Linked DNA regions of Daphnia pulex. The protein of the gene in region 1 interacts with the protein of each later gene in a pairwise test. Links are inferred from orthologs where the notes say so. Each region holds a gene or a part of one and is shown on either strand. Other genes may lie near its edges. The genes, in order: WW domain-binding protein 11-like and growth factor receptor-bound protein 2.

What was found.
Region 2: the proteins of WW domain-binding protein 11-like (region 1) and growth factor receptor-bound protein 2 interact in binary tests that used the Homo sapiens proteins (3 or more experiments, as listed by UniProt). The link is inferred for Daphnia pulex from reciprocal best matches to the Homo sapiens genes WBP11 and GRB2.

Annotation. Positions count from the first base shown.
Region 1 is NC_060017.1:96,772-100,697, reverse strand, and holds WW domain-binding protein 11-like, read left to right. Parts: upstream 1-1,637; 5' UTR 1,638-1,733; coding exon 1,734-1,797; intron 1,798-1,988; coding exon 1,989-2,427; intron 2,428-2,489; coding exon 2,490-3,211; intron 3,212-3,276; coding exon 3,277-3,524; intron 3,525-3,630; coding exon 3,631-3,732; 3' UTR 3,733-3,790; downstream 3,791-3,926. Other genes in the region: histone-lysine N-methyltransferase SMYD3-like, read left to right, coding at 1-68, 140-504; thioredoxin domain-containing protein 9-like, read right to left, coding at 569-825, 892-1,093, 1,214-1,322, 1,389-1,456. UniProt on the Homo sapiens protein: Activates pre-mRNA splicing. May inhibit PP1 phosphatase activity.
Region 2 is NC_060028.1:9,115,282-9,119,207, reverse strand, and holds the start of growth factor receptor-bound protein 2, read left to right. Parts: upstream 1-1,183; 5' UTR 1,184-1,579; coding exon 1,580-1,657; intron 1,658-1,744; coding exon 1,745-1,842; intron 1,843-1,913; coding exon 1,914-2,033; intron 2,034-3,218; coding exon 3,219-3,384; intron 3,385-3,461; coding exon 3,462-3,635; 3' UTR 3,636-3,926. Other genes in the region: protein brambleberry-like, read right to left, coding at 34-219, 282-410, 484-792. UniProt on the Homo sapiens protein: Non-enzymatic adapter protein that plays a pivotal role in precisely regulated signaling cascades from cell surface receptors to cellular responses, including signaling transduction and gene expression.

The DNA.
Region 1 (3,926 bases):
AGCAAAACAATTTTGGGAAGCTTCCGAATTTAGTGAGCAACAGCTGTTGTTAATGCAGGAAACAAATTGTACGATGGGTCTTATTAATATTTCTTTATTTCTAATTTTTCAAGTGATGAAATCTTATTTCGCTCGACAGATTTAGACGTTTGCAAATTGTGCATTGCAAAACAAGAAAATCTATTTCATGATGTATGCCTTGTCCGATCGAAAATTATGGATGCAGCTTTTGACTCAGCAATTCAACTTCAGTTGTGGGAAGCGGCAATTCAATATGGAATCCCCCTGATTCAGGCGTACAAGTTATGGTATGGAGAAGAGCATCCCCTAACAGCTATACTGCTATTGAAACTCTTTAAAATTACGTTGCTAATATCAACAACGAATGATTCCGTTGCACAAAAATATTACGAAGAGGCCGCTAAAATACTTGAAATCACCCATGGAAGGGACAGTTCATTTTACCGGCAAGAGGTTAAACCTTTGATTCGTCAATTAAGCTGAATGTGAAATTTATTGAAAGCGAAAATACTGAAAATATCAGTGGAATATGGAGGATAGCTGCAGCTTAATCAGAATCTTCGTCTTCATTTTCTCGAATTGTTTTCTTGTTTTTTATCTTCAGTTTTGATTTTGTAGCTTGGCCAGGTGGAACCAAGAGGTCACCAGAATATTCAATTACATCAGCATGAGCTATCCTCCACTCTAATACTTCTGTAGTAAAGTCATCAGTATTGCCTAATTCACCAAATCCAACAACATAATCCTTGGTTTTTGCATCTTTCACTAATGCCAGTGTTGGCAAAGTTTTAATCCTCAGTCTCTCTAAAAATGGGACCAATCATTATAAGAACTTTAAAACATTTTTGACTAATAATTGATTATAGATACCTGTTAAAAAGGGACATTTTTCAGCATTAATCTTACAGAACTTAGTTTCCATGTGCTTCCTTGCAAGTATATTAAGATGCTTATCAATAACTTTGCAGCGAAAGAAGTCATCTCTGTAGAAGTGGCAAACAAAGTTTGAAGATTTTTTTGCCATCTCAAAGAACTCCTTTTCCTCAGCTATCTCGGTATACTCTCCATGCCCCTTAATAAGAAAACATTATTATCAGTAATTTTCCCAATCAACTGATCTTGAAAGTAAATCCCTCATTATAATGTACAGGATAGGAAAATTAAAGTTAAAAATATAAATCGTTAAAATTACATTGATTTTCCATTGCTGCATTTTCTGCTGCCTCAATTTCATCTCTTGTACTCGTTTCCTCCGAATATCTTCCAAGTCATCTTCCGTCAAATTGTCCAATTTGTCGATTCTTTATGAAGAGGAAATTGATACTATATAATTCTACATGCCGAAAATACGTTGTATGAAATAATACTCAGCATCGAGTTTTTCCTCGGCAGCCTTTAATATCTGATTCTGCAGGAGATTCTGAATTTGTTCCATCTTTGAAATTACAACGGGATAAAGGGATACTGTGTGACTTGACAGAAAATCAAAACGAGGCAAGATGAAAAATTTGACAGGTAAAACAAAACACGAGACAAGGGGATGGGTTTCAAAGCAGACAAAGATAACCAAGGCAACAAGTAATCGGTTGTTTCAGTATCGATAGAGCAGTTAAATCGATAACTACGATTTCACTAGTTTGATTTTTAGCTTGTGTTGAATTGTTGATGTCGTATTTCATCTTGTGTTCGTGAAAATAATAATATAGCTAAAAATGGGGAAACGCTCAATAAATACCACTAAAAGTGGGAAATTTATGAATCCAACAGATCAAGCACGTAAGTTTTTTTTTAAATTTTTATCTCATGCAACTTTCATGTACTAAAGTTTGAAAATTAACATAGTTACTACGGTGGCTTAATACTCGTTATGATCGTGACATTTTAATTGTCTATTGTGAATATCCAATATGATTGAATCACTTAGATGATCTTAATTCGGCATTAACACTTTTAGCTTTTTTTAACAGGAAAAGAGGCCAGGAGACGAGAACTGAAGAAAAACAAAAAGCAAAGGCTGCTCGTTAGGCAGACTGTTTTAAAGGGGAAAGATCCAACTACCATCTTTTCAGAACTTGAAAAAATTGATCAAATGGAATTCAACCCAATTCAATCTGCACCACTTAGTGAAAAAGTGTTAAAGGAAAAGAGGAAAAAGCTAAGGGATACATTAAATAGAATCATGAGACTCTATGAAAAAGAAGAACCTACTCAGTGGACTCAGATCAAAGCAATGGAAGTTCAGTATGAAAAAAGACGAGCTGAACTAATCATCTACTGTGAGTCAGTAAAGCACACTCAAACAGTAAACCTGGAAGAGATCCCCTTGCCAAACCTGGATTCATCAAGTACTTCAGGCTCTTTACTTCCAGCCCCTCCAGGCATTTTAAAGAAAATCAGCAGCTATGGGTAAGTTATTGCTGCAGATTAGAGTAAACAAAGTTTTAATACCCTATAATCTAAATAAATAGATTGTTCCGAAAACCACCTGGTGTTCCTTCTGTTCCACCCCCTGAAATATATGACATTTGGGATGAGGGTGATGGAGCAACAGTGGAACCTGGTGTTCCTGGAATTGACGACGAAGAAGAAGATCTCCCTCCATATCACACATACTACCAATTCATTCGTCCTCCCCTTGAAGATATCGCATTGCCCAAAGACGCTATGGAAGAAGATGCTGAAATGGATGACGACTACGATGAGGACGAAGATGATGATAGCGACGAGGACAGTTCGGAAGCAGCCTCTAAATCGGCTCCAGTAGTTCCCGAGCCCCCTCGACCTACAACACTTCAACAGCGAATGTTAGCCATTGCTGGTCAAGATGTCAACACAGTTATTCAAGAGATGGACTATTTGCATCGCCAAAAAGAAATGAACCGTCAAGTAACTCATGAAACACGAAAGGCGAGGATGGAAGCGGGAGATTTTGACGAAGATCCTTCGACGGATAATAACAAGTACCCTCCGCACATGCCACCTCACCCTTCACAGTTCCCGCGACCTCCGATGATGCCTTCCTATGGACCTTATGGTTCTATGGGCCCACCTCCGCCAATGGGATATGGTGGTTTTGCTCCTCCGCCAATTCCAGGATCGAGACTACCGCCTGGTCCTCCACCTAGAATGCCACAAGGATTAACACCACGTCTGATTCGACCTCCCGGCATGCCTCCCCCACCGCCACCAGGTTAAGCGATTAAAACTAAAAACGTTGTGTCGGAATTATTCATATCTTAATTAATAATCATATAGGTATACGCCCGGGTGCACCATCTATGCTTAGCACTCGTCCACAACTAGGTGCTGGAGCTCCGTCTAAGCCATCGTCGAAACCTACTGCTTCCATTATCGAGGCCAAGCCTCAAATGCGTAATCTAAGCGCAGATTTGACAAGATTCGTTCCTACTACGTTGAAAGTGAAGAAAGATATGCCACCCAAAAAAGATCTGGCCAAATCAAGTGCCAATCCTCATATTGAATGGAGGACTCCTCAAGTTCAGGTATGATATAACTGCTTAGTTTAACAGTAATGTAAAATACCTTGGACGTATATGTGATAGAACATAGAATTACAGATTGTATTACAGAATTTGAATTTTTTCGTAGGTTGCAACCGCCAGCAAACCCGCAACAGTAACTCAACCTCCCGTCAAAACAAAAGACGACGCTTATTCGCAATTTATGAAAGAAATGCAGGGATTTATGTAAGCGATATGTAACTTTTTTTGTTCTTGACTTTTCAATATACGAAACAATCTAGTTCTGACATTTTGGTCGAATTTAAAAAATAGGAATCGCTTAGTAAAACGTTGCCTTTCTTGGATAATCACTTACGCAATTTTTTCGGAATCTTTCTTTAGTTTCTTTCAGCCTCCCTCTGAGAGAAAAGAGACGATCCATAT
Region 2 (3,926 bases), on another chromosome or scaffold:
ACAGTTGTGATGAAAATCAATAAAGAAACCAACCTTGAGCTCTCTAATGAATCCCAATTGTTGACTAGAACTGGCCATGAGTTTGTTGACTGTCATTTGAGTCAGTGCTCTAAACTGTTGTTGGCGGGCACCGTAGCACACTGATCTTGCTCTATTGGATAGAATATGGTAGGCATTCCAGGTGTCGGAATCCATGTCAGAAGTACATTCCCTTAAAGTCTAAAAAATATAAACTGGTTAGCTACAACTAGCTGAAGTGATACATTAATTAGAAAACTTGCCATTGAAGAGGAGCATGGGTAGACTCTCCGCCCTTCCAATCTTGATTGGCAGTTTAAAAGATTCACACCCAACTTAGACAAATCTTCCTCTGAGAGATCATTGCAGTCTTGCTTCAATTGAAGGATTAACTATAAACGAGTTCATTAATATTAATGAACAGTGAGATTGTACTTTGAATCAACATCAAAGTACTTTACTTACTTTATGCTGGCAAACATCCAGCTCGCTCAGACTAAGGTCAGTATATTTCTGTGCATCGGCAATGAATTTTTCATCAGCTACAGACAGCTCAAATGGAATATCAGACCTTGCTTGCACAGCACTCTCATCAGGTTCAGAAACTTCAATCTTATCATCTTCTTTTGCTACAGCCATAAGCTTATCAAATTGTTTTTCACTACTCAAAATGTTAAAAGGGGAGCTGTCTCTGCCTAAAATCCAACCTACTAAACTAGAATGACTACCAGTTCCTAGGAGAATTATGGCCACTAAATATAAAGTTATCTTCATTTTTGTAATAATCACAGTGCAATATAAGAGAAAATCATCTGACAATAATTGTATAAGATTGTAAGAGGGTTTGGTCGATAAAATTAGTCAAAAGGAACTGCACGTTGCTTTTCTAAATTCAAGTCCGGACTGGTCTGAATCTCTGGGTCGAGATTCCTTTTGAAAACCATTTGCATTTATTCAAATGAGGCAGATAACGTTGCCACATTGCTTTTTCCAAAAGAATTCGACGGAAATTTAAATATTTAAAATCTTAAAATATTCATCTATTATGTTGTATTATAAAAAATGTATATTCCTGTAATTGAAATAATATTTTAAATAATTTCAGTCATTTGGAAAAAAAATAGTTAGAAAAAATAAAAAACGTTTACAGGCACGCAAGCATTTACCTTTAAAATTCCATTGGGAGAAAAGGACTGGTGACGCTCGTGCGTCAAAGCCAAGAACTAAGTTGTTTCCCAAAATTATGGCTGTCTGGCTTTCGTCGGGCCCCGAAAACAGTGTATAGTTAATCAAACAATCGTGGATACGGATACGTCAGTTGATAGTCAATATTGTCAAACAATTTGTGGGAAATGCTATTCGTTTTTGAGTTTCGAGAAGTGTAATTCGACTTTGAACGAAGTCAAAACATTTTGGTGATTGGCCAACAACCGTTTCACTTGATAAACGTAGCCGTGGTGCACATCCGGCCTAGCCTTGAAAAGGAAATTCCTTCTCTGAAGCTTGTTTTGCCAAGAAATACTTTATCATCTGTGATTTCATAAAACGTGTTATTTTCGAGATGGAGGCCAATTCTAAACATGACTTTAATGCCACTGCTGAAGATGAGCTTAGTTTTCGAAAAGGGCAAGTTCTCAAGGTAAACCAAGCAATGATGCTTTCAACAGAATTTAAGGAATTTTTGCTTATAGCAATATTCTAACCTGTTCATTTGATTCAAATGTAGATTCTGAATATGGAAGATGATCTGAATTGGTATAGAGCAGAATTGGATGGAAAAGAAGGGTTGATTCCTAGTAACTACATTGAAATGAAAAATCATGAGTAAGCCTAGTTGAAATGTTTATGATAAAATAATGCATATTGATTATAACTTGTTGTTTTATTTTCTACAGTTGGTACTATGGAAGAATAACCAGAGCTGATGCAGAGAAACTCTTGGGCAACAAACATGAAGGCGCTTTTGTTGTTAGAGTCAGTGAGAGCTCACCGGGAGACTTTTCCCTGTCTGTTAAGTATGTTATCTAGTTCTTAAAATAACAATGTGATAGATTTTGTTTAGAAACATAGACAGTGTAAATCCTTAACCAAGAGCTCTAGATAGTTTAGAAATGCCCCATAGGAATTCTTCTACTATGTTTGATGTTATTATTTGCCTATTCTCAAATGTTGTTGAAATCTATTTGTGGCATACCAGACTACTTATCATTAGAACATCTGAATGAGATAAGTTGACATCTATTAACTAAGCTTGTAAGTCGTTAACTGCCTAAAACGGGAAGATTTCTCAAAATATTTATGTAGAAATAGCACATTATAAAAACATATTGAGAAATATCGCTTTGCATTCAGATATCCTGATTAGACGCTACACGTACATTTGAAGCGTGAAAAGAATTTCAAACATGCAGGCTTTCATCAGTGTAAAATCAAATATCTTATAATCTCGCTCTCCAAACTGTACGATACAAGTTCTACCTTACTAGGAAGACGCGTTTGAATAGAAAATTAATGAACCGAACGTACAGTTTATTTCTATTTCCCTCAAAGAATCATGGGTATTTGGTTTTCTGTAGAAATTTGATTTGATCACGCAAGAATTCTTTCCAAATGCAGTGCATGAGTCAACCTGATGACGCACACATCCGTTTACATTCCAATTTTATTCACTTCAAAGGTGGAATGAATCTCAATTGTCTATTTTGTTTTACCTTAAAAAAACAAAGACAGCTTGTAAAATTGGAACTCGTGCAGTGACTACCCTTTGCTTAAGTCGTGACTCGTGATTCATGAACCGTCAGTCCTACTGTTTTCAGTAATTAGTTTTATCCTTTTTGGTATTTTATTAGCCTTGTTAGGCGTGTCTAGGGTACATTCTGTTTTCTATCTGTTAGGCCTTTTCGTCAAGTTCCCTTACCACTGAGCCACCGTCCGTAATCAAGCAACTATATATGTGCCTTGAACCGGAGTTTTGCATCATTTTTAGTTTTTACAATTCTCTCATCGCCCTGCTGTGTTATTTATTCCTTCTTGAGGTTTTTGCCCGTTAAGTTGTAGGATGAGTGTGTTTTGTTTATAGCTAAGGAAGCCATCATCCTACTTCCTTGTAGTTCGAAATTAGTTTGAAATTTACACAATACTTTGTTACGTGCATTCTGTGTTAATAGGCTATTCTCTATTTTTTCTTTCTTGTCTCGCAGATGTGGCGATGGTGTCCAGCACTTCAAAGTACTTCGCGATGCCCAAGGGAAGTTCTTTTTGTGGGTGGTAAAATTCAACTCGCTCAACGAACTGGTCGACTACCATCGCTCCACATCTGTTTCTCGGTCTCAGGATATAAAGTTACGAGACATGGTGCCTGAAGAGGTGAGTTACCAGTTGTTCTTTTTTCCATGCCTTTAGGCTCAGGATTGACTAACAATTGTTGTGTGAATTTTCGACAGTTCTTGGTGCAGGCACTATACGATTTCACCCCGCAAGAACCAGGTGAATTGGAATTTAAGCGAGGCGACGTCATAACTGTGACAGACCGTTCTGATCAACATTGGTGGACTGGAGAAATTGGCGCCCGCCGCGGCCTCTTTCCTGCCACTTACGTTGCCCCGTATCATACTTAAAAGGCGAAGGCACTGTTCGTTCGTTTTCTTTTGCTCCTTTTCTTTTCTTCATAAATTTTTCTTCATTTTTTTTTTCTTTTTGTATTAAAGTGGTGCGTCCGTTCTTAAGACTCAAGTTATTTTTGCCGACTTCGAACCTAAACACATTACTAACTTTGATAACAAAACAGTAAAAGTGATGAACAGCTAGGATTGACAGGATTGCATCTCATTTCTCATTGAAAGCAGTTTGTAAAATTGCTTTCTTTTCAGTTTTTTTCCGTTTATGTTGTTCTAACCTCGATTTTCGAC